4 linked regions of the Drosophila melanogaster genome follow. The protein of the gene in region 1 interacts with the protein of each later gene in a pairwise test. Each region holds a gene or a part of one and is shown on either strand. Other genes may lie near its edges.

Evidence for each region.
Region 2: the proteins of Creld (region 1) and gem interact in a two-hybrid assay, tested with the Drosophila melanogaster proteins (one large-scale study listed by BioGRID).
Region 3: the proteins of Creld (region 1) and Zaf1 interact in a two-hybrid assay, tested with the Drosophila melanogaster proteins (one large-scale study listed by BioGRID).
Region 4: the proteins of Creld (region 1) and CanB interact in a two-hybrid assay, tested with the Drosophila melanogaster proteins (one large-scale study listed by BioGRID).

The regions. Positions count from the first base shown.
Region 1 is NT_033779.5:100,806-105,647, forward strand, and holds Creld (cysteine rich with EGF like domains), read left to right. Parts: upstream 1-1,574; 5' UTR 1,575-1,653; coding exon 1,654-2,101; intron 2,102-2,200; coding exon 2,201-2,629; intron 2,630-2,710; coding exon 2,711-2,958; 3' UTR 2,959-3,072; coding exon of another isoform or gene 3,073-3,131; 3' UTR 3,132-3,337; downstream 3,338-4,842. Other genes in the region: Zir (Zizimin-related), read left to right, coding at 1-137, 211-389, 444-814, 1,071-1,113; Nhe1 (Na[+]/H[+] hydrogen exchanger 1), read right to left, coding at 3,668-4,142, 4,200-4,531, 4,586-4,650, 4,707-4,842.
Region 2 is NT_033778.4:10,122,224-10,127,966, reverse strand, and holds the start of gem (gemini), read right to left. Parts: upstream 3,675-5,743; 5' UTR 1,528-3,674; coding exon of another isoform or gene 1,348-1,527; 5' UTR 762-1,347; coding exon 390-761; intron 1-389. Other genes in the region: CG46319 (uncharacterized protein), read right to left, coding at 1,348-1,527; Ccs (copper chaperone for superoxide dismutase), read left to right, coding at 5,443-5,457, 5,509-5,743.
Region 3 is NT_033777.3:11,620,285-11,627,880, forward strand, and holds Zaf1 (ZAD and architectural function 1), read right to left. Parts: upstream 5,361-7,596; 5' UTR 5,342-5,360; coding exon of another isoform or gene 5,227-5,341; 5' UTR 5,191-5,226; exon of another isoform or gene 4,985-5,190; intron 4,903-4,984; exon of another isoform or gene 4,767-4,902; intron 4,665-4,766; exon of another isoform or gene 4,552-4,664; coding exon of another isoform or gene 4,434-4,551; 5' UTR 4,377-4,433; coding exon of another isoform or gene 4,266-4,376; 5' UTR 4,208-4,265; coding exon of another isoform or gene 4,073-4,207; 5' UTR 4,071-4,072; intron 4,019-4,070; 5' UTR 4,011-4,018; coding exon of another isoform or gene 3,502-4,010; 5' UTR 3,443-3,501; coding exon of another isoform or gene 3,317-3,442; 5' UTR 3,262-3,316; coding exon of another isoform or gene 3,127-3,261; 5' UTR 3,108-3,126; exon of another isoform or gene 3,055-3,107; intron 2,950-3,054; 5' UTR 2,754-2,949; coding exon 2,631-2,753; intron 2,573-2,630; coding exon 1,923-2,572; intron 1,866-1,922; coding exon 1,731-1,865; intron 1,661-1,730; coding exon 1,441-1,660; 3' UTR 1,355-1,440; coding exon of another isoform or gene 1,231-1,354; 3' UTR 1,182-1,230; downstream 1-1,181. Other genes in the region: CG14710 (uncharacterized protein), read left to right, coding at 1-60, 119-861, 924-1,169, 1,231-1,354; CG14711 (uncharacterized protein), read left to right, coding at 3,127-3,261, 3,317-3,442, 3,502-4,010, 4,073-4,207, 4,266-4,376, 4,434-4,551; CG6813 (uncharacterized protein), read right to left, coding at 5,227-5,341, 5,414-5,659, 5,719-6,131, 6,192-6,302; CG18764 (uncharacterized protein), read left to right, coding at 6,710-6,826, 6,882-7,596.
Region 4 is NC_004354.4:5,330,729-5,335,695, reverse strand, and holds CanB (calcineurin B), read right to left. Parts: upstream 3,198-4,967; 5' UTR 3,178-3,197; intron 2,955-3,177; exon of another isoform or gene 2,869-2,954; intron 2,644-2,868; 5' UTR 2,596-2,643; intron 2,327-2,595; 5' UTR 2,292-2,326; coding exon 1,779-2,291; 3' UTR 1,247-1,778; downstream 1-1,246. Other genes in the region: XRCC1, read right to left, coding at 3,509-3,627, 3,686-4,014, 4,077-4,165, 4,226-4,967. UniProt on the Drosophila melanogaster protein: Calcineurin is a calcium-binding and calmodulin-binding protein found in all cells from yeast to mammals, and a calcium-dependent, calmodulin-stimulated protein phosphatase.

The sequences.
Region 1 (4,842 bases):
TAAAGATTCCAATACCGTTGATATTAATAGCTTGGATCCCGATAAGGCTTACATTCAAATTACTTATGTTGAACCCTACTTTGAAACATATGAAATGCGTCATCGTGAGACATACTTTGAGCGGAATTTCAATATAAGTATGATATGAATTAAACAGATAATTTAAATCGAAATTTAAAATTATAATTTTAACATTTTTGGTTTATGCAGAACGTTTTATATATGCCACGCCTTTTACTAAAAATGGAAAGGCACATGGCGAACTAAATGAGCAGTGTAAACGGAAAACGATTTTGACCACGGCGAATCACTTTCCATACGTAAAAACTCGCATTATGGTAATTAGCCGACAGCAAATAGTCCTGGAACCGATTGAAGTGGCAATTGAAGTAAGTTATGTTGTAAAATCCCAAAAGTTAATAAAATTAAACGTTATTGCCTAGGATATTCAAAAAAAAACATTGGAATTGGCAGCTGCCACGAATCAAGAGCCAGCAGACCCCAAAATATTGCAAATGGTACTGCAGGGATGTATTGGAACCACTGTTAACCAAGGACCGATGGAAATGGCGAGTGTGTTCCTTTCCAATTTATCCGACGGAACAACTGTACCGACAAAACACCAAAACAAACTTCGGTTGTGCTTTCGCGAGTTTTCAAAGCGTTGTGCTGATGCTTTGAAAAAGAATCGCAATCTAATACTTTCAGATCAAAAAGATTACCAACGAGAACTGGAACGTAACAACGATCGGTTCATTGAACGATTGACTCCCTTTATTACTCTTACATCAGTTCAGAATCATGGCGTTGTCAAGTAAGTTTTTATTGTTATACAGTGAAAAGGAAAGTTACATTGTGTATACATATGTATTAAAATTCTCATGTCTTTCTTATTTTGTTCCTCAACGGAGTGCTCTAAATAATAGACATAAGATGCTTAATTAGATATTTATAGAATCCAGCCTAATATAGATATTACTTTACTATATGACTATATTAAAAACCACCAGTGCAAAAAGTAAACATTAACTTATATAATTTTTTATTTCTTTTCTAAATACATCCAATAGGGCCAACGCGTACAACAACAAAAGTACTCCTTTGAAATGGTAACTTCTTGCACACGACTTAGTCTGCAATCAAATTATCATACTTTTGGTCTTTCATGTCTAGCGTATCGGATTATTTTAAGTAAATCTTACATTTTAAATTATCGATCTCTATAATTGCTAATGTAATAGCATAACTTTTTTATGCATCTAATAGATTAAGCAAAATATTAAAAAGCGAAAAAAATAAAGTTTACACTTTTTTACTTTTACGAAAATAGTTAAAGCAACATGTTTCAAGCTACAAGGAGGTGCAGTTAAAGTGAGTGAAACAAATCGTATCCTACAGCAACAAAATTTAATTGTCGATTACCAGAAAAGGGAAGTATTCGAAAATGATAATCCTCGAATTTCGCATGGGTCGTTAACGGTTGTTAGATTGACTAAGAGTGAGCTCCGTGAGGCAATGGTATCGAACGCGACCTATCGGTATTCGCGAAACTTTCGAGTATACTATCGATGTTTTTATTTATCGATAGTGTCGGCTTTAATTACACGTAAACTCAGATAGTTTGCCGGTTAAAAAGACAATAAATAAATAAAAATGAGAATCAAGTATTGTTGGCTCGCAACGCTAGTATTCATAGCCGCTGCTTCGGCGTCATATTCTCCCGAAAAGCCTGTTCCGCCGCCCTGCAGGGCATGTACCCAGCTTGTTAGCTCTTTCAGGGCAGGACTCGAAAGGACAAAACGCGGACACGCGGGCGGGGACACGGCATGGGAGGAGGAAAAGTTGCGTTCGTACAAGAACAGCGAGGTACGGCTAGTGGAGATCCAGGAGAAGCTATGTTCGGAAGGAGAAGTGATAAACAAGGATCACTGCCACAACCTGGCTAACGAGCACGAGGCGCTTCTCGAGGACTGGTTTATCCACAAACAAACAGAGAGTCCCGACCTGCAGTCATGGCTTTGCATCGATCAGCTAACAGTCTGCTGTCCGCTGAACACCTACGGACCAGACTGCCTGACCTGCACCGAGTGCAATGGAAATGGTAAGTAATGATAACCAAGTATTACAGGCCACAACTTACATAAGTGTGTCAACTTAAGATTGCCGTCTTCGTTAATTTTACCCACATGACAAATTTCAGGAAAATGCAAAGGAGACGGAACTAGAAAGGGTAACGGAAAGTGCAAATGTGATCCCGGCTATGCGGGTCCAAACTGCAACGAATGTGGACCGGAGCACTACGAATCATTCCGTGACGAAAAGAAATTGCTGTGTACACAGTGCCATGCGGCCTGTGGGGAAGGAGGCTGCACGGGAGGTGGTCCCAAGAGCTGCCGCAAGTGTAAGAAGGGCTGGAGCATGGACTCGGAGGCAGGATGTGTCGACATTAATGAGTGCTTGGAGCAACAGCGTCCAAACCCTTGCCGACCACAGCAGTTCTGCGTGAACAATGAGGGCTCCTTTAGTTGCCTGGAGTGTGATCGATCTTGCGATGGATGCGATGGTGATGGCCCTGACATGTGCAGGAAGTGTGCGGATGGCTATGAGTTGAAGGAAGGAAAGTGTCATGGTAAGTAAGACAGAAATTTAATAAATTTGCTTTTAAGCAACGCATTGTCCACTGTATGTATTGCGCCTCCGATCATTTAAGATATTTCTGCGGAGCAACGCAGCAACTACGTAAGCTTTACGCGAATGCTCACCTACTTCGGAATGTGCGTGGCCACCTGTGTCATCTTCCAGAGCTCTACTCATATTGCCTGGGGTTGCATTGTTGGGGCGGCAGTGGCAGGGTACATTGCTGTTTCCGAGTACTGGATCAACTCGGAGGCAGGAGGCGGCCACCAACCCGAAATAGATACAAAACAGTTGGAGGAACTAATAATGAAGTCTTTATAAGTCAAAAGACATGTCAACATTGCTTTCCTTTTATGATATACACGAGCGTTTTGAAAAGCATAATCTTTTAACATTCCCCCAAGACATCTAACGATTTTTGTACTTCGTTTGCAGTCCGCAGTGATTCAAACTCCACGGTGCTCGGTGAAGAGTCCACGCACGAAGAATTGTAAAAGTAACCAAAAACGCACACCTTTTGTAGCCAATTTTACTTTAATAGGTAATATTATCAATTGATATGTAATTATAAATTAGAATTTCAAAAAGCAGGGCATGACCATATTTTTTTACACGTACCACACTTAGATATTTATTTGGTTTCAAAAATGTATAAAATCACAAATACAGCATATATTCGTATGAATAAATATTTTTAACTAAAATTACTGACGTAGTGTGCTTTTGTGACGTCCAAATTTTCATTTTGAAGACCATCTGTCGTGTGCAATGTAATACTGCTTTAAGCGGATTAATAAAGGAGCTACAGTGATACGAATGAATCATTGCATTTGGATCTTACAAAATGAAAATTTGTAAACAAAAAATATACACAAGATAACAACCATCACCGCGCTATATAAATAAAAACTCTAAAAATATTAACTAGAGGAACTTAAGCATTACATACGATCGTTCCCTTTGGCTTCTAAAGTTATCCAACACAGTCCGAAACGGATACAGAGCTCCCCCCACAACAGCCATTTAATCCCTACGACCGTGTCAAATGAATTTGACTTGTGCTGGCCGCTAGTCCTATCTCTTCGTCCGATTCATCTGAATCCAATGGACTCACTCGAATGGCTTGGTACCACTTGTTAGTCAGGTCGGCCATCTGTGACTTGCACTCGTGCAATTCCTGACTATTGAACCGACGTGTAAAAAACGGAATAAAGTACTTGCGATCCATGCGCCCAAAACGATCGCGCGCTTGAGTAAAGGTGACGTCCTCTTCCTCGGTGAGTTCAGACAAGTGTTCAGAGTCGATTGCCTGGCCCCATTCGCGAGTTTTCGATAGGGAAATAGATTTTGAACGCTTCCTACCGCTGCCGTTGCGTCGACCTCCCTCCTCAGCGGCATTCCTTCCAGAGCCGCGTGCCCGCCGTTTTTTTCCTGGCTTAAGGTACTTTAGCAGAGGCATTGTGGAGCCCCCCAGCACTAGCGTGGTAAATAGCACAATGATTAATCTGAAATTTTAATTCTTCAATGACTGAGCATTATTTTACAATCCGGAATATGCTTACGTTGTTGTTATGATGACGTGTCGTTTCTCCTGGCTGTCAAGATTCAAGTGCAAAGATAGCGCGTAGGAAATCGCTCCGCGTAGGCCAGAAAACCACATAATGAACTGCATCTTGTTATTGATCTTATGCTCGCGAAATTTGTTGACCAAGAACGCGAGCGGAAAAATATTGCAGGCGCGGCCAATTAAGCAAAGCACAATGGCCCATATAACAAAAGATAGTTCAACTTGGTGTTTAAAAGAAAAGATTGCTAATCCCAGATAAGCAAACACGCAGGTCTCAGCAATGAAAGCTAGTGTCCTCATCGTCTGCTGCATGGTAATTTGGGTAACCTACGATTAAAAAAGTTTTAATAATATATAAAATAGGGATATCATATGACTTACAGTGGATAGGTTGAAATGCGTGTAGTGGGACATGACGATTCCGCAAAATAGTATAGCCATAATACCTATAGTTGAAAAAAATGTTTAGCTTTTAGAGTCATAGTCAACAACATTGATATACCGCTTAAGTGTATTCCCTCTGCCAAGACGTAAGGTGCGTAAGTAAACATTAGCATCATCGCGAACTCGAGGGATGGATGCTTTCGTAAATCGATGTGCTTCAGAAGAAGAGCCGAAATTAGTGCAAATATGACTCC
Region 2 (5,743 bases), on another chromosome or scaffold:
ATTAGCAATTGAACTATATATTTATATGTGCCTCAAGGCAAACGGATTTCGCTTGAAAAATGTAGTCACTCAATTGTAGGGAGCTTTAAAGGCGGCTGTTTCGATTTACGAAACAAACTATGGTTTAAAAACAATTGTACAAATATTGCTAGCTGTAATTAGTTTAGATTCTCTGGTATTTCAAATTTTCTCGATGGTCTAGCTATAACGTAGAGAAATGCTTTACACTGAGGAAAAGAAATTATATATATAATGGTATTATATTGGCTTATAGATAATCGATTTATATTTGTGATGCCAATTCTACCTGATGAAAATCAGTAGCAATTATTTATAAGCCTATAAATGTTTAACCATACATATATCTGATTTTTCCCCAAAAAACTTACCTGATTTAGATTTTCACTGATACCGTTAGTGGTGTTGGTATTGTTGTTGGAGTTTTGATTATTGCTGATACTGTTGTTATTATTATTATTCTGATATTGACTGCGATTTAAATTGTTGAATTCCATTTGGTCGAGTTCGTTGAACAGGTTCAAATCGAACTTTGTTGAAAGGGTGCGTTCTTGTTGATGTTGTTGAATTTGCTCCGCTTGTTGTTGTAGTTGTTGATTTTGGTGTTGTTGAATGTGATGTTGAGGGTGGTGGCTCAAATGTAGTAGTTGTTGTTGTTGTTGTTGATGATGAGTATATTGTGGATCGAATATGCTTTGTAAATCCAACAGACCGGAGTTTTGGGATAGAAACGAAAGCGCCATTCGGTACGTGAGTTAACGGCGTTAGAATCGCGTTCTGGTCTCTATTAGTCCAAGCTTATTGTTGTTTGTTGTTTGATATCCTCCTGAATTATTTGACCGTGATCGCTCTCACCCGTATTACGAAACACCACTTCCGACCGGAGTAATTTCGCCAGCAATTTTGCTCAAGTTTTTTGGTGCAATGCGAAATGCAACAAAAGTGATTGATGGTAATAGTAATATTCGAAGTAGAAACCGTATATTGATCGACCAACACTTACTGATTACTTGCTTAGGCTAACATTTTGGCTTGGCTTGTTCAAAATGCTCATATGACACACTTATTTACTTAATCGTTCGTTCGTCGCACAGCACTTTGGATATACGAGGGCTAACCATATGCACTTGACGTGAGTTCTACTAACAACCAAATAATATCTCTAGTTTATTCATATATTTATTTAACGTAGGTATAACATGTATAACTTGCTTTCTTGTAACTTTTTCTAACTTGGCTCACAGTTGAGTGGAATTGTAAATTTTGCTTTTGTGCGTTTTGTGTTCTTGGGGCCTTTTGAGAGGGTTCGGGACTGGCCGGGGGGGCAAATTAAAACAATACGAAAAACGAATTGTATAGTTTCTTGATACCGGTGGTCTCGCGCTGACGATGGCTTCGAAGTAGGGTATTCTCGATTTTTAACAGCATCTTGGTCCGGAGGTACATATAGCTCGATTGCGACTGATATTCATTAGACATGCGTTGCAGTCGTATTTCAGATTTCTCCATTTATCGCTGAATTGGTTAGCCCGTGTTGCAAGCTTAAGTGTCTTGTGTTGGTTCTACGGTACAGGTCTCACTCGCTGTGGTGAAACTTGTCACTGGCTGCGGCGACTTCTAGCTCTTTGTGCTGGTTGTTTGGACCACTGTCAGATGGCGACGGACATTATATAGTAGTTGTTTACGCTGAAATCGAATATATATGTGTGTATATTTTCACTGATAACAACTTCGCTCGCTTTCCTTCTGCAGTTGGGGTTCTCTCTTGAGTTTGGTTTCGACTGATTTCGCTGTTTGTTTGGTCACTGTCAGATATTCGACATTCCAATTGGGCACTTTTGGGGGTTCGCTTCCAAAAAAAAATTGGATTTGCAACGGTGATTATGTAACTTTATTTGTTATACACTGTCAGAAGGCTGACATTATTTCGATCGTATTAGCACTAGAAATCTGATAGCGATTGTAGGGGTGGTTTCCTAGACTTTTTGCGACTTAACGTTTGGACAACTACTCGGTTTGCTCGACGATTTTGCTCTGGCTTGCACTGACTTTGCGACTTTACTCTGAAGTTGATTCGCTGGATTTGGTTTCTCTCTTTTTTTTATTTTGTATAGGTGTTATCGCGAACTTTACGTTTGTGTTGGGGTGTTATATATCAAGCGGGCGAGATGCCAGTTTCTTGGATCGTCACTTTTTATTGGGGCCTAATTTTTGCGGTGACTGCGAACAGGTTTTTTTTCGGGGCTAATTATTCACAAATGCTCTCGGCTTTCATTAGACAAATTAGGCTGTTTTTGCAGCGACTTTAGTTTGTTTCACACGATTTAGCACTGTATTTACGACGAAGTGAAACGGAACGTTTTTTATCTGTGGATTCTGTTTCGCGATAACGATAACGGTACGATTCGGTGGGTGGTGAAAACTTTTTCTGCCAATTCAATGGGTTATGGTTATATTTTAAAGTTTTGGGTTTTCTTATTTTTGTGGCCGGACTAACTTGCGAGCGTGCTAGAGGAGCACTTTTAATCCGACGAAGCGAGGCTTCGAAAAGCCCAAAGAGACGAGCATTTTGTGCGGCAGAACCTTGGTCGAGCGGCAGCCAACGCGGACACGAGGTTAAAATATCAATGAGTTGTGTGAATTTTCGCCGTTAGCGGGAAACTACAGATACACCAGTTTCGGAATCAAAAAAGCACGAAAAAAGTCAAGAAATACAGAGCGTTCCAATCAAGACGACGTCGCCGTTACAAACACAAGCAAAGATCGCGGTTCGCGGATCGCAGACGAGTGCGACAATAACAACAAGCACTTGCGATTACGGAGGCGGAACGGGAGCAACTACGCTCACATTCACACTTTTCGGAATAATGCCGACCCGAAGATTCAGATGCTGACAGCAAATTGATGCGGATGCTGCTGCCGCGCTGCTTTTCCTCTGCCGCCTGCTATCACTCTAATTGATTGTGGCAACAACAAAAGTGGCCGTTGTCTTCGTATTCATTGGAGTGCACATAGACACATGGACCACCCCTCTCTCCAGCAATTGAAAGGGCTTTGTATTGTTGTTGATGATGCTGATGTTGCTGCTGTTTTCGCTGCTACTGCTGCTGCTGCTGCACTTGTTGCTCGACGTTCCGTTACTCTCAGTTCGAGTCCCAGCTGTTTTGCACGTTCTTTTGTGTGGCTGCGTTTCGCGGTGAATGGCAAGAAGCGGACTGCTACTACACAATAACAAGTTAATTAATTGAAGTTGTCGCTGTGCGGTTGGAGGAATTGTTTTCCTCAATTTGTTTGGCTATTTGTTGCTCCTGCAATTGAATTCAATCTTTCGCTGGCATTTGTGTATATCAATTATTTCATTCCTTTTCGATTTAAGGCTGCGCGCGTCGATGACGTATTTGAATTTTGGCACGCACACTCAAAGACGCAAAGGCGAAAAGACCGAGATGAAAAAAGATTTCGGGGTCTCGCTTGTTACGCGCTTAGTAAGCTTTTCCGCTCGCTATAAACACTAGAAAAAGCGTCAACGTGTTAAAATTTTCTGCTGCCGTTGTTGTTGCTTTGCCGACGATGCTGTTGTTGTTACTCAGATTAGTTTACACTCCCGCACTAAATCGCTGAACATGTGTTTTAACGCCGATGGTACGAAAAATACTGATTTGGTGAGCGAACGTCACAAAGCTAATATTAAAATAAATACACTAGCCCGTTATGTTTCTCTCTCTCTTCGCTCTCTCACTCTCGCTCCAAAAGAGCGTGGCGTTCGACCCGCAAATACAAATACCAATACCAAAGCCCCACTGTAAGGGTCATTCTGTGCACGTGTGTGTGTGCGTGCGTCTTTGTGGAATGCAAGTGAAACAAAGGCAAGGCTAATTTTCCGTGGCACGCACTATCCAGACCAACTTATCTATCTACATTCCCGACACACGTATCCTTCCAGGTGATTGTTTCAGAGGCTGACTTGCATTTGTTGCTCTCTCACAAAACAAGGCGACAAAAATCTTTATGCTATTTATCAACAAGAACAGCTGTTGCCATTAGTCGCTGCCCCAAAGAGAACATTGCCTTTTTGTGTGGGCGTTCTTCTCTTCAGAGTGGCTCAGGGCGTATGGCGTCGATCTGTCGTTAGGGTGGACCATCTCAGACTTGTAAAAATTATTACGGATCTGCGGAACTAACTCAACTTATATATAAGTTAATACAAACATTAAATAATATTACTAATGTGAATAGCCACATAACCATTGGGAAAGAAACTAAATTTCTTACATTCCTAGTGTTGAACTTAAGGTCTAGTAACGGTACTCTAATAGCGACTAATTGTTATCCACCGATATCATTCATCTCTATCCCTAGATCGACGTGCTAAGAAAGGCCTTAATTGACAAAGCCATGTGCCGACTCGCCAAATTTTTGGGAATTGAACGGTTTTATCATAATTCTTTGTTGTAGTGCTTCCTTTTACAGTTCTTCAATTGAAGGCAATATTAAATATTTCTCAATTGTTTTTAAATTGCTATCAATAACGGGGTCCAAGTGAAATTAATTTATTTTGCACAATGAAAGTCAAGGCGCAATTGGCTGCAATAAAGTGGCGCGCATGGAAAAGCTTCATTCATATTGGTTGCACGTTTTTTTTTTGGGCCTCAATAAGCCAGCATCTGTCGCTTGCGGTTTTTGTAGACAAAAATTAGCGCTATCAATTCCAAAAAATTAGCATCATTTGGCTTAAAAATACTCTTTATGGCCATTGATTAAAACTGTCGGCGGCCATAAAGAAAAGTTAAGCCAAAATTATAAAACGTAATATGAAGTGAATGGAGCTACAGGTCTGAAAATTAGCACGGAAATTAAATAAGTTAGCATCTAAGCTAGTTCGGGGTTAGCGTTTTGAATCGGTCCAGAAGAGTTGGACAAAGTCAGCTTAAGATTATAAAATTGTTGGTCAAACTAAACAGAAAACCAATGATTATATCCAAGGTACTTAGCCCTATTAAATTAAGCTTTAATCTATTCACTTAAAATATAGTTGTAATCTATATAAATTTCAAACATCACAAATATTATTAATATAGTCATTTTGGAAATATGGAGTGACTTAAATAGAAATACCAGAATTCATTTTCTTCATCAAAAAGCACGCAATTTATGCAAAAGTTCAAAACCGAAGCTAGTAACTTTGGTTTTGTAAATGTAAAACGTTCTACGATAAAAATATTACATCTGTGTTCTAATACGTAACTAGTAATATCAGTTCAACGTTATAATTTATTGGATAAGTGGTTTACAAACGCCTTAAACTTTCGTTCCGTGTGAACCTATCGTTCTTCGATGACAGAAGGCGCGATTTGTCTGAACCTATCGACGGCCATCGATACCAAAGTTTGTTTATCATTGTTAGTCGGCACTTTGACCATAAAAATGAGCTCCATTAAGGTAAGTATATGTTATTCGGGTCAGGAAACTTGCTTCCATGTTAATGTGCAGATCGAATTTGCAGTGCAGATGCGAAGAGGTGACGAATCCTATGCCGGTGCCCTCCGTTCGGCGCTGGATGGGGTCGGCCAGGTGGAAATTGACACCCAGGAAGGTCGAGTGATAATCCAAACCCAACGACCTTGGTCAGAGATTCAGGACAAGATAGAAGCCACAGGTGTCCGGGCCGTACTCTCCGGATTCGGCGGCCAGTCGGCGGTGGCCCTTATAAACACAACAGGAAGTG
Region 3 (7,596 bases), on another chromosome or scaffold:
TTTGGGGATAAAGGCGAAAGTGACCTCAGGAAAAAGTTGGAGCTGTGCTGTAGGATTAGGGTAAATGGAGCTGACCAGATGGGTTATATGTATCATTTCATTACTCCAACTCCCCCAGGTTCGCCAATCCCCGCAGCTGCCCGAGAAGGCCTGCAACAGCTGTTGCGAATTCGTCCAAATGTGGTTCAACTTTCGCCAGATGTGCCTGAACTCGCAGGTCTACTGGGAAACAAGTTCCTCGGAGAGACCAGAGGCTCTTGCCCAGGCAAGCGATGCCGAGTATATGTTGTATCTGTACGAGAACCTACATCTGAAACTAGGCACAGAGAATCAGGAGAAGGAAGAGATCACCGCAATAGAGGAGGGGGATGAACAGCAGGAGGATCAGTCCCAGGAAGTTCTCGATTTTAACGGATTTATCATAAACGAATCGATTGAGGAGGACGAAGAGCCTAATACGGAAAGTCCTGAGCAGATTCTGATTTCCCACATGGACTCCTACGTTGATGATCAACAAATGGAAGAACTCATTGATGATAAGGGTGAGCTTGTCGAGGAATTATCCAATGCAAACACGTTTTATGAGGTTGAGTACGGGGACGAGGAACTTCTCATGTCAAGCGCTCCTTCGCCACATCCCAGCTTCAAAATGGACAAACAAAAGCCGGGAAGGCCTCGCAAACCGGACGCCGAACTGAAATTCAAACGCAAGGATATCAACGCCAAGGAAAGGGGGAACCAGCCAAAGTGCAAGGAAGAGGAGAAGTTCATGTGCATCCTGTGCGGAAACGTCTTTTACAAGAAATCTGTTTTCACGGCCCACATGATGACCCATTCAGAGTACAAGCCCCACCAATGCGAGTAAGTGATATTAAGGTTTAGGAAGGAACAAATTTATCCTACAAAAATGTTATTGCTTTCAGAATATGCAATAAATCTTTTCGACAAATGGGCGAATTGCGAGCACACATCCGTCGTCATACGGGCGACCGTCCATACAAGTGTATGTACTGCGACCGCCACTTCTACGATCGCAGCGAACGGGTCCGCCATGAACGGGTCCACACCAACACGCGTCCTTATGCCTGCCAGGAGTGCGGGAAAACTTTTACGCACACAGCCATCCTCAAAAATCACATCCTTTCGCACTCCGCCCAAAAGAATTACAAGTAAGGGAGAGTAATCCTTTCTAGTGATTTGCACTTTTTATTAATAATTTGAACTTTTCAGCTGTGGTATCTGTTGCAAGTCATTCACTCTGCTGCACCAGCTGAAAGCTCACCTGCAAACGCTAACCCACCGCAACAAAATGGAGCAAACCATTCCCAGCTCTCCGGAAATGTTAGAGAGCTAATATAGTAAATTAATTGAGGAACTAGGGTTATCTATTATAAGTAGTATAAAGCCACTTTTCCAGAATAGACCAGCTATTTTTATTAACTATTCTACCACGTCGCTGTACTCCTTAGCTATCAGACGGTGCGCAAGAGACTTCTCGTGCGCTGTAAGTTGGTGCTTAAGCCGAAATTCTTTTTTACACATAAGACACTTGTGAGACTTTTCAGACGAATGCAGGTAGTAGTGAGCGTTACGAGAGGAGGACAGAGAGAATGTTTTTCCACATATGTTGCAAGCATAGGGTCTTTCATTCGTGTGCAAACTGAAATGAAGAAATTCAACATTGGAACTTAAATGCTGTACACAATATATATAGTTTTTGTCCATTCTACCGTTCGTGCTTGCGATGAGTGCTGTTGTCGGCAAAACGGCGCGAACAGTAGCAACATTGGTAAGGTTTCTCGCCCGTGTGCGTCCGCATGTGTGTTTTCAGGTTGCAGGCGGCTCTGAATGTCTTTTGGCAAACCCTGAATCATACATTTTATATATGAAATATTATGTTAAGATATATCACGGATACTTACTCGCACTGGTGGTCCTTTTCCTTGCGGTGCACCTGCGAGTGTGCATTTAGCTGAGATAAGCAGCGGTATGTATTGCTGCAGATCTTGCATCTGTACTTGTCCGGCTCGCAGGCCACTCCTAGATCTATCACGTAGTCGGCACTTGGCTCTAGATTATGGTAATCCTCGCTTGTCTCTTGAATACTGTCCGTAGCAGCGCTGCTTTCTTGCGAATACGTTTCGGAGTAATTTTGATCGGAGATCTCCCTGTCCAAATCCATATCACTGATGGTATAGTCCTCCTGGTGTATGTCTTTCTCGTTTTCCGCATTCACGTTGAGATCGAACACGAAATCGCTTGAAAATTTATTTATGGGTAAGATTTCATCATCTTTGGTCGTTTCCAATGCATTCTCTTGAGTCTTAAAGTTAATAGGATTCTCTTCGATGAGTCTCCCCGAAATGTTCTGCTTCCTGGCGCGTTTTTTCTGTTCAAGCTGGTCCTTATCCTCCAGCGTCTCAAATGCCGATGCGGAGGACAGAGTTTGACGAACGAGGCTTCTCAGGTGCGCGTCGGATTGTTTGCACGCGCTAAGAAATCTGTCCACCTCCTCCAGTTGCATCAAGCAGACTGTGCAAATTTGATCCGGCAGTCCATCATCCGGTTTCACCTAGGAGAGAGGATTTGTAACTGGTAAACTGGAAGCCAAACAGAAATCGAGTACTCACAGATGTGCCGGCATACGAGATCAACAGCTTGTGGGCATTGGACTCGAAGAGCGACTGCAGCGTGGATTGCGTTCCTTTTTTGCGGCAAGTGCGGCACATGCTCCATTTAATGCTGATTTCCATCGTTATTTCCGCAGGAAGTCCCTCTTTCGCGTCAAATGCCGATTCAAATGCCAGAGCAGTGAATTAAAAGTAAAAGGGTTGTCAGGTACGCGGAATTAGTAACAGTTTTCAACTATCATTCCAAATTTTTTTGCATTTAGTTCTAAAACTGTATTTTTATTGCGTGACTCAAGCTTAAATATTTAATAGGGCCCACCTGTTAGTTTAAAAAAAAAAATTAAGATTTAATTATTATCAATTATTCAATCGATATGCCGATAGCAAGTTCGATAGCCATTTATCGTTTTGCGTACATGACAACCCTGGGAAAAGTTCCAAGACGCTTGTTTATTTCAGAATTGCAAGCATACGTACGTCCAGGACGTGCAAGATAATGCCCGAGTACATGTTGTGCCGAATCTGCTTGACAGAGGACATCAACTCGGAGGCGATGGCGCCCCTGTTCGATGACAACGACGCCCAGTGCCGGGAGCTGGTGCGCAAGATTGAAGAAGTGGGCAGCATAAAGGTACATGTGGATGCAAATGTAAAATCCTGCGACTTAACCCACTCTGTGCTTTCAGCTGGTGCCGCTGCAGAACATCCCCAGTATGTTGTGCTACAGCTGCGTGGAGCGACTGACCAGTGCCCACAAGTTCCGGGAGCTTTGCCAGGAGAGCGAGCGCACATTTGCCACCAATGTAGTCAAGGTACGTATAGAGTTGATGGGCCACATATAAACATCCCACTTGACCCGGTACCATGTCAGGCCGAGATGAAGTCGGAGCCAACGGACGAGGTGCCGCACGTAGTGGCTGACAACATTGAGTACATCTACGAATCGGCCAACGACTTCATCGACGGTGTCGAGGATGACATCGGAATGGAGAACATCATGGAGGAGCCCCTGGAGGATGGTGTCGGGGAAACGTCGCAGGCCTACGAGACTAGCACTGTAGTGGACGACCTGGACGAGGATGACTTGCTGGTGCCGAATAGCACCGATAGCGACTACCAGCCCATCGAGCGCTGCCGCAAAGCTAAGGTGCGTAAAACGCGGATGACTAAACGTGGACGTGGCCGACCTCGCGGTGCTAGCTCCGGACACCCACGCAGTTTTAGCGAGGAGCGTCCGCCTGTTCAAGCTAGCTTCAAATCATCTCCCGAAGTATCCTCCACGAACATTATGTGCGAAATCTGCGGCAATATCTACTCCAAGCGAGCCGCTCTCAACATTCATATGCGTCGTCATATGGCCGAGAAACCATTTAAATGCGAGTGAGTATCTGAAATTATCATCTGAACCATTTTATATTATGTAAATCTTATTCCGCTTACAGAATATGCAGCAAATCCTTCGCGGGTCCATCCGAGCTAAATCGCCATATCCGCGTTCACACGGGCGAGAAACCATTCTTGTGTAAATATTGCAACCGCTCGTTTGCGGATCGCAGCTCCAATATTCGTCATGAAAGGTGAAGATGCAATTCCTCATAGTAATCTTCATATAAACTATACTTGTTCCTTTTGCAGAACACACACAAACGAGCGACCTTTCACTTGCTCCACATGCGGCAAGGCATTCTCCTACTCTAACGTGCTAAAAAACCATATGCTCACCCACACGGGCGAGAAGCCTTTTCTGTAGGTCCATTGACTGCTTTAATCATGTATAACCCTAAATTCCCTTTAATTTTTCAGCTGTCGAGTCTGCAATAAGACCTTTTCCCGCAAGCACCAGTTGGATCAGCATTTGGGCACCATGACCCACCAACAGACTGTAATACACCACAAAAACGAACGGACGGGGCGCTATTAGTCGAAAACAATGCAATACAATTTCTGTTAGATAATTCATTAATGTACATTTAATTATATATAAAAATTGTAAAATAAAAAAGAGTACAAATGGTCAGACCGGATGTGTAAAATAATCGGATTTGATTTATTACTATTTGGTTAAAGAACTTGTTCAAAAACACAAATATTTTTTGTAATGTTTTTTATTACGTCCATATATTCGAGAAAAAAATTGGAACACGATTACAATCTTTGATTTTGTGCGTTTATTTGGTAGTTTTAACATCATTTTGGCCATTAAATGAGTGTGCGTTTTTTATTGTTTCTTTTCTTTGTGCTCTGTCGAAGACTTTGTTACCGTTTGTGGAAGCTACAACATGGAATAATAATCGAATGGCACAGGATTAATTAAATCTTCTTTTTTTGGACAAGTAAATATGTTTTGTTTTTTTAGGTTTATAACTTGTAACGTTTTACATCAAAATCTAAAAACGTTTGGAAGTCGGGAGGGATGCGGCTCTTCTTCTATTCCTTAGGGAAACAAAAAGTAAAACCAAATATGCTAGATATTCGCATAAAATGGATTTATGCGAATACCTGTACTTAAATGTACGTCTACCTTGTTAAAGAAAAGGACGCGGAATTTTAGAATTCTTACCGATAGCTAATTAGTGTAATGGCTAGATAGGCAGCTTCATTGTTCAATGGCTAGCTCCGTGAGTTTCTCTTCTTTGCGTTTATGAATATTGCTGGACAGGTGGGTCATCAAATGGGAGATTCGTTTGAAGTGCTTCTGACATACGTAGCAGCTGTAAAATCAAAGTGTGTTGAAACGTGTAATACAAATAATGTGCAGAGTTGGCAGAAATCGAAATGCCCACTAGTGATTCCGCGCATCCACATGGATCATCTTGTGCTTCCTGAGACATCCGGAGCTTACAAAACTCTTTTTGCACGTGTCGCACTCGTAGCGGCGTTCGTTCCGATGGCGGCGATGGTGCTCCTGGCGAGCGCCTGAAGAGGAGAACCGACGTGGACAGTAGACGCACACGTATGGCTGCTCGCCCGTGTGGATACGCGTATGGCTAGTCAGTTCCTTTCGAGTTGCAAAGCTCCTTTCACAATTCCTGAGGAGAAAAATCGTATCTTAGGTGCACTAGCCCAAAGGAGGTTAAGGATAATTTACAAAAAAACACAGTGGAAATTCTTGATGCCTGTGTGCCGGAGCGTGTGCTCTTGAAAGTTTGACTTATTGTTAATGATCCTTCCGCAATCAGGGCATACATATGGACCAGTACCTCCTCCAATTGACTTTTGATGGTTCAAACTAGTCGGTGCTGAGACCTTTTCAGCACTTGGCATTGGAAGATCTTTGACTTCAGGACATAGAATGGACTCGTCCAACTCACTCTCAATTTGGTTATCATCGATGTCTTCGTATATTATTGGATCTGTGGAGCAATCCTTGCTGTCGCACTCAATCCTTTCCAGATTCTGTTTCTCGGCAATGATGCAGCGCTGGCGGAACTTAATGGCTGCCTGCAGATTGTCCAGGCAAGTCGTGCACATTTGGCCGGATATTTCTTTCTTGCAGCTTAGCTGGAAAGTATAAATAGCAAATTAAGTGCCATGATTAAGGAATATTTTTAGACATATTACCTCCACCCCAGTAATGGAGTGAATTTGACGAACTAGATGACCGTTTCCTGGACCAAAAAGGTCTATTGGGGCATCTGATCTAGAGCAAATGCGGCAATTCAGAATTCGCATCTCGACTTTGATTTGTTTTTGAATAATTGTTTACTGTTTACGTTTCGAGCAGCTTATGCGAAATGTGTCGTTAAGCTATTTGCATGGTCACTCTAACTTTTGCACGCATAAACGCTGTTTAGAGTTTTTGCACAGGGATTAGTACCTTATGAAGTAACATAAATACAAATATGTTTTATAATCTCATTTAATAAGAGTACCATAATGGTTTACTGCACTTTTTAAATCATTTAAGTCACACAATGGCATTGCCGCACTTATCGATTTTGTCGATAATAAAACCAGCTGTTGCATCACAATATATATACATACATATGTGTAGTGGATGCGTTTACAAAACAATTGGTTGTTTATATTCGAATTAAACTGAAGTTGGGCTAAACTTCGGTTGATTTTCAACTAACATTATGGCGCTCCAGTGCCGGACCTGCGGCAGCATCATCTACAATAAAATGCCCAAGAATCTCTTTCATATTGAGAACGAGAAGATGCTGCAAGACATAAATCTTGTCACTGGCACAACAGTATGTAAGAAAAATGGTTTCCATTTGATTTGTGCAGCATTTTCTGTGATTGCAGCTCCACAACGATCCAGAGCTGCCCAGCAGCATATGCGCCTGCTGCACGCTTGACTTGAACCAAGCGATTTTGTTCCGGGAGCGGTGCATCCTAACGCAGAAGCAGCTCGTCCATCGTCGTAGATCTCCCGAAGCGAAGGAACCGGCTGAAGATGTTGAGGAGATGGCATCACCGCCGGATTGTCTGAACGATCCATTCGGGGAAGTCGATGAATACATTGTGGAATCCCCAGAAGAAGTTTTGGATCATGATAGTGATGCTCATCATGATCTGGATGAGGATAATTATATTGATTCTGTTGAAGATGTTGATGCGCTTCAAGATATGGCTGAAGTAGCCGAAGAGGATTCTCAAGATGTCGAATCTCTGATCTCAAGTGTACAGAAAGAACTTGAGAGCATTTGCAACGACGACAGCAACTCGGATAACAACGATTACATGGAGCCCCAAAACGGTTCCTATTTCAATGAAACTATAAACGAATATGAAGTATCATCGAACCCAAACACACCGCTGCCCGAATCGAAGAGTGCAGCAGGTCGGTCAACGAAGCCAGCGACCACAAAACCCAAGCGGAAAAAACAGTACGTTACGTGGAAAAATATGACCGAGGAGCAGATCATAGAGCGTAAGCGACTGCAGCGTAAACGCGAGTGTGTTTGCGAACAGTGCGGCCGGCAATTCACCGACCAAAGCAATTTCAAGCTTCACATGC
Region 4 (4,967 bases), on another chromosome or scaffold:
GTGTGTACGGGTATACGGGTGTACGGGTGTAACTTCAGCATTAACCCTACTAATTTTCAAAATGGAAATGCCTTCATTTGGAGGTCGGATTCGAAGCGTGGGCAGGTGGCAGGGGGCGGGGGGCAGGGCCCAGGCGAAAATGATTAACGAACCAGCTTGCGACAGACAGCATATAATAATTTATTGATACCACGCACACACACTCACGCATTCTCGCACACTGGCGCACACAAAGGACCCTCGCAGGACCTCCCTAGTTCACTAATACTGTGGCCCAATCGCCCAGCAGGTGACTCCGTGGTCAAGGCTCTGTTACCGTACAAGTTCTACGCGGACCCAACAGCTAGTTGGCTGGCTTCCTGTTGTCCACACTGCGAGAAATTCTTGTTGAGTTCGGTACCAAAAATGTGGGAAATATATAAAATAGTATTCTGCGGCAGCAGGGATGATCTTCTCCAACTGATTTGTATTGAACAACATGGCGTATACGTAACATTTTTTTAAGTGTTTTATATCAACATGGATTATCATCTCTTAATGCTTTGCGATATTTATGTTCTATTTTAAATCCACAGGAAGGCTCCGCATTCGCAAATTTGTACTGAACAACGTGGCGTATACGTAATATTTATGTTTCATTAGTAGATAGATGTTTTATATCAATGGATAAACTTTTCCCACTCATTTGTGACATTTCTGCTCTATACTAAGGTAATTTTAATCTCAACATGGATGAACTTCTTCCACTGCTTTGTTCTAAACAACGTGGCGTATACGTAACATGTATGTTGGTGTGTCTTGTCACATGAGGGACGTCACACACACACACACGTGTAGTTGGAAAATCGGTGACCTACAAAACATTTAATCGTTGCCAACGGCCAAAAAGTTTTCGGTTACTTTCGGCCGGTGGCTTCCTTCCCACATTTTGTGGTGACCATCTTCTACGGGGTCGGCTTTCGGGAATCCGGAATTTCGGGCGCCGAGCTGAACGACACGCACGTGTTCTTCGTCCAAGGACTCGCGGACCGTGGAACTCTGAGGGCATCTGAACCCGCCGGCCAAAGAACCCAGCCCACATTCGTCCACCTCCCATCAACAGATAGTGGTAGTACAACGAAAAATCACCAAGTAAACGCTTGTTGGGGGTTTTGAGTTTAGCTTTGCGATAAACAGTGTTTAATTGTAGTTGTTGTTGTAGTTTTCTTTTGTCAATTTTTTTTTTTTTTTTTTTTTTGATTTTTTTACATATCTTATACACAACATTTAGTCGAGAGATGAACTTAAGTGTTAGGCTTGAATTGAACGTAGAGTTTAGGATATAGTACAAACTAGTTTAAGATGATGCGAACAATCCCAATCGTAGAGCTGTTCGAACCTCGAAAGTATGTCATTTCGAATGGAAGGAGGAATGGAAGGAGGGGTATAGATGAGTTCTTTGGTTGAGTGGTCCGTTGCCGGTGGTTTCAAGTATGAGTATAAGACACAATTCATTGCATTCTGTGGATGATAGAGATCGATCGGTTTGGATCGTTTGGAACAAAGTGTACTCTATATATATGCGATAGGTATCAATAAATTGAGTAAACTGCTTCGTTTTTGGCACGCCTCAAACGCCCTCACAGACTCACAGACAGACCGTTTATTATAAAGCTGAACATGTTTCAAGGGAAGTGAAGGTACACACACACACACACACACTCATTACGGAAAATCGGCTATACATATTGTATCATATCTACAATTGTATATATATAGTACTCATTATGTGGCTCAATCTAAACATCGACAACCATTTTCTTGTGAATATCGGTATTGCCCACCACCGAGCAGAATTCATCGAACGATATCTTGCCATCCTCGTCCTTGTCCGCAAAGCAAATGGTCTTGTCCACGATCTGCTGCAGCTGTGTGTCCTTCAGATTGTTGCCCACCATCATCTTGAGCACCTGGAAGAGTTCCCCGTTCGAGATGTAGCCATCATTGTCCATATCATAGATGCGGAAGGCGAATCGCAGCTTGGACAGCTTATCGCCGCGCACGCTAAACTGCGACACTCCCTGGATAAACTCCTTGAAGTCCACCTCCCCGTTTCCATCCGCATCGAAGATATCGATAACCCGCTGCACCAGCGGATTCTGCTGCAATTCCGGCAGCGACATGAACTCATCTATGCTCAGCGCACCCGAGTTGTCCAGATCCAGCTTGCGGAATCGCTTGCCCAGCCTACGGATCTCGTCCGCATCGAAGTTGGAACACATGTCCATGGGCAGGGAGGTCTCGTTACCCATGCTGGCCTTTGGTTACTTAGTTCTCTGGTCTAGATCTGCGAATGGAACGCAAGCGTTAGAAGGCAGGGCATTCTGCTCTACGGAGAAAAAGATGATTCCAAATGAATTTCGATAATAAAAAAAAATATATCATCAGAGAATTGAGGAACATTTGAGTTACCAATGAGAAAAATTAGAAGGATATTCGGTATGTGCAAAAACTGATGCATACTCCCAGGCTGCCCAATGTTCCACTTCTCACTGAATAGCTTCGAAATCATTTGGATTGCACTTTTTCTCAGCGTTTTCAGCACGACTTTCTTACCCAAAATTTTTGTTGTTAATAACTCAATTTTTCAACGACTGGCACGCTCTAAAAAAAAAAAGGGGGGGTGAAGTGCAAGTTAGCAGCATACTTTTAATTATGGCTCAATCGTATCGATTTTTCCAAATTCCACAACTTTTCACCACTCGTTTTCGCTTCAGCAAGGTTGGAGTGGAATCTCTGCAGTGGCACAAATCCGGATGGAACTGCGTTGGCCAGGATGCTTGGGTGAATCGCATTGCGAAAACGCAAGTGGTAGCCATAGATATTTACCATAAATAAACAATAGTTGCGCTGGATTGTTAAATTCCCAAAAAAAAAGCTCTCTACTCGCTCGACAGCAAATACACGACTGCAGGCGAGTGAGAGAGTTTTCACCGTTAGCTCTCGCCAACGAGTGGGAGAGCGCGGAGAGCGCAGCTGTCAAAAGCGGACAGCTGTTGCTTTTCCACCTGTTTTTTTTTTTGTTCTTTTCGGGGGCTGCAAATTGGTTTTCCACTTGTGCACTTTCGCTATCTTTTTAGTCTTTTTAATGCATAGTTTTGGGCGTAAACGGGTTTTCTTCGCTTAACCATAGCATGCCTATGGGTGGAAAGTCCTTGTAGTACCGTGCTATGCGTTAGTACATTTTTTGTGAATTTCTGCTAGAGATGGACCATCGCATTAGCCCAGAGGTGGTTTATTTGATAGTTTTTTTTAAATGAACATGCGATAGATCTATTATAATATCAATATTTATTCCTTGGGCTCTTTTTTCAAAATGGTCCAAACTAATCACTTATTTTGAATTTGTCGAATTTTTGATAACGAGCATATTCGATTAACAAAGTACAAAAATATGATACTTGCACATTACAAGCAATTTAAGTAATAAAGTCGTATACAAAATATGAGATGAGGTTAGAAATGGCACCTAATCGATTTGTTTCTTCTTTAGCTCCAGATAATCCTCTTCATCGGTACTAACTTCGTATATATCTTGCGATTTCGTCTTTACTGTAGTCCTTAGTTTGGCTTTCTTCGTTTTGTTTTCTAAAAGCAAACAATAAAATATCTAAAAAAAAACAGGGCAGAACAACAGAGAGTTTACCCTCAGCCACGCGCTGCAGTTCATCTTCCGTATCAATGCCCGATAAGGCATCTGGATTCATTTCCACATCATTCTGATCCGCTAGAGCTGTTAGCTTGCTATCCTCTAGCATTGCCACATCATCCTTGCTGGAATCGCGCCGTGGCCTCGTCGCCTCATCGCAAAGCTCCTCATCGCTCTCCGGCTGGCCAATGTCATTGGTATCCAGGGCGTAACGTCGCCATGGCAGGTACTTCTTCAGCTCATAACATTTCTCGATCCAACTGCGTGTCACAATCTTGCCCTTGCCCTTCACTTGATTGTATTTCGGTGTGTTTTTGAATGCGCATCTGTTTGGGTTTCATTTTAAGAATTAGCGGGCGCATACTAGATCAATCTGGACTTCACTTACATCAGATGGGTACATCCTGATCCCCAATCAGCCTTATACTTGGCTCCCAAGGCGACCGCTTTCGAACGCAAGTCTGCACGATCGGGATTCTGAAAGCAGAAGGGATGGGTTTAAATCGAGTTGTGATGCAATCAAAAGAATTTCCTTGCCTGTATGCCACTGATGACCAGGACCACACCCTTGAGTAACTGATTAAGGGGACGGTATTGAATCGCTGTGTCCACGATCTTTTGCTTTTTGGCGGGCGTTACTGCGACTGCGGTGGGAGATGAATGTCGCTTTTGCGCAGTTGGGCGCGAACTTTCCTTGGAATTCGAGGTGTCCGAAGATCTGTGATCATGCTTAGATTTCTCCTTCCTCCTGGACTTCTCCTCCTTCGAATGCGATCTTTCCTCTTTTCGTAATTGCTCTTTCTCTTCTTTGGCTGTGGATTTTTCTCTGGAGGACGAATTGTGCTCCTTTGCCGGTGGTTTGTCTTCTTTGCTGATTGACTTATCCAAGGAGTGCCTGCTTGACTTTTTCTTTCTGCTCTCCCTCTCCTTTTCCTGCTCCAATCGCCGTCGATCCTTGTCCGCCTCCAGATGCTTGCTCAGCCGTTGTTTCTTTGCATTGACCTCAGCGTCCTTCACGTCCTCATCATCGTCGCCGAACAAGAGTGAAGCTCGATTGCGATCCAGGGGCTTGGCATCCAATGGCGTCGGAGAAACCGATCGCAGAGCATTGAGAACTGGTGATGGCGACGTCGAGGTTTTGGGCGATGCAGCCAGGCTAGAAACCTTGCCAGCGCTCAGCCTTCGCAGGGCCGTGGAGCCGGCGTCCCGAATGGCCGCTGCTGTGGAGGTCGCACTGATCGCGGGCGACTTGTGCTGCGTCTGCTTCTTCCAGCTGTGA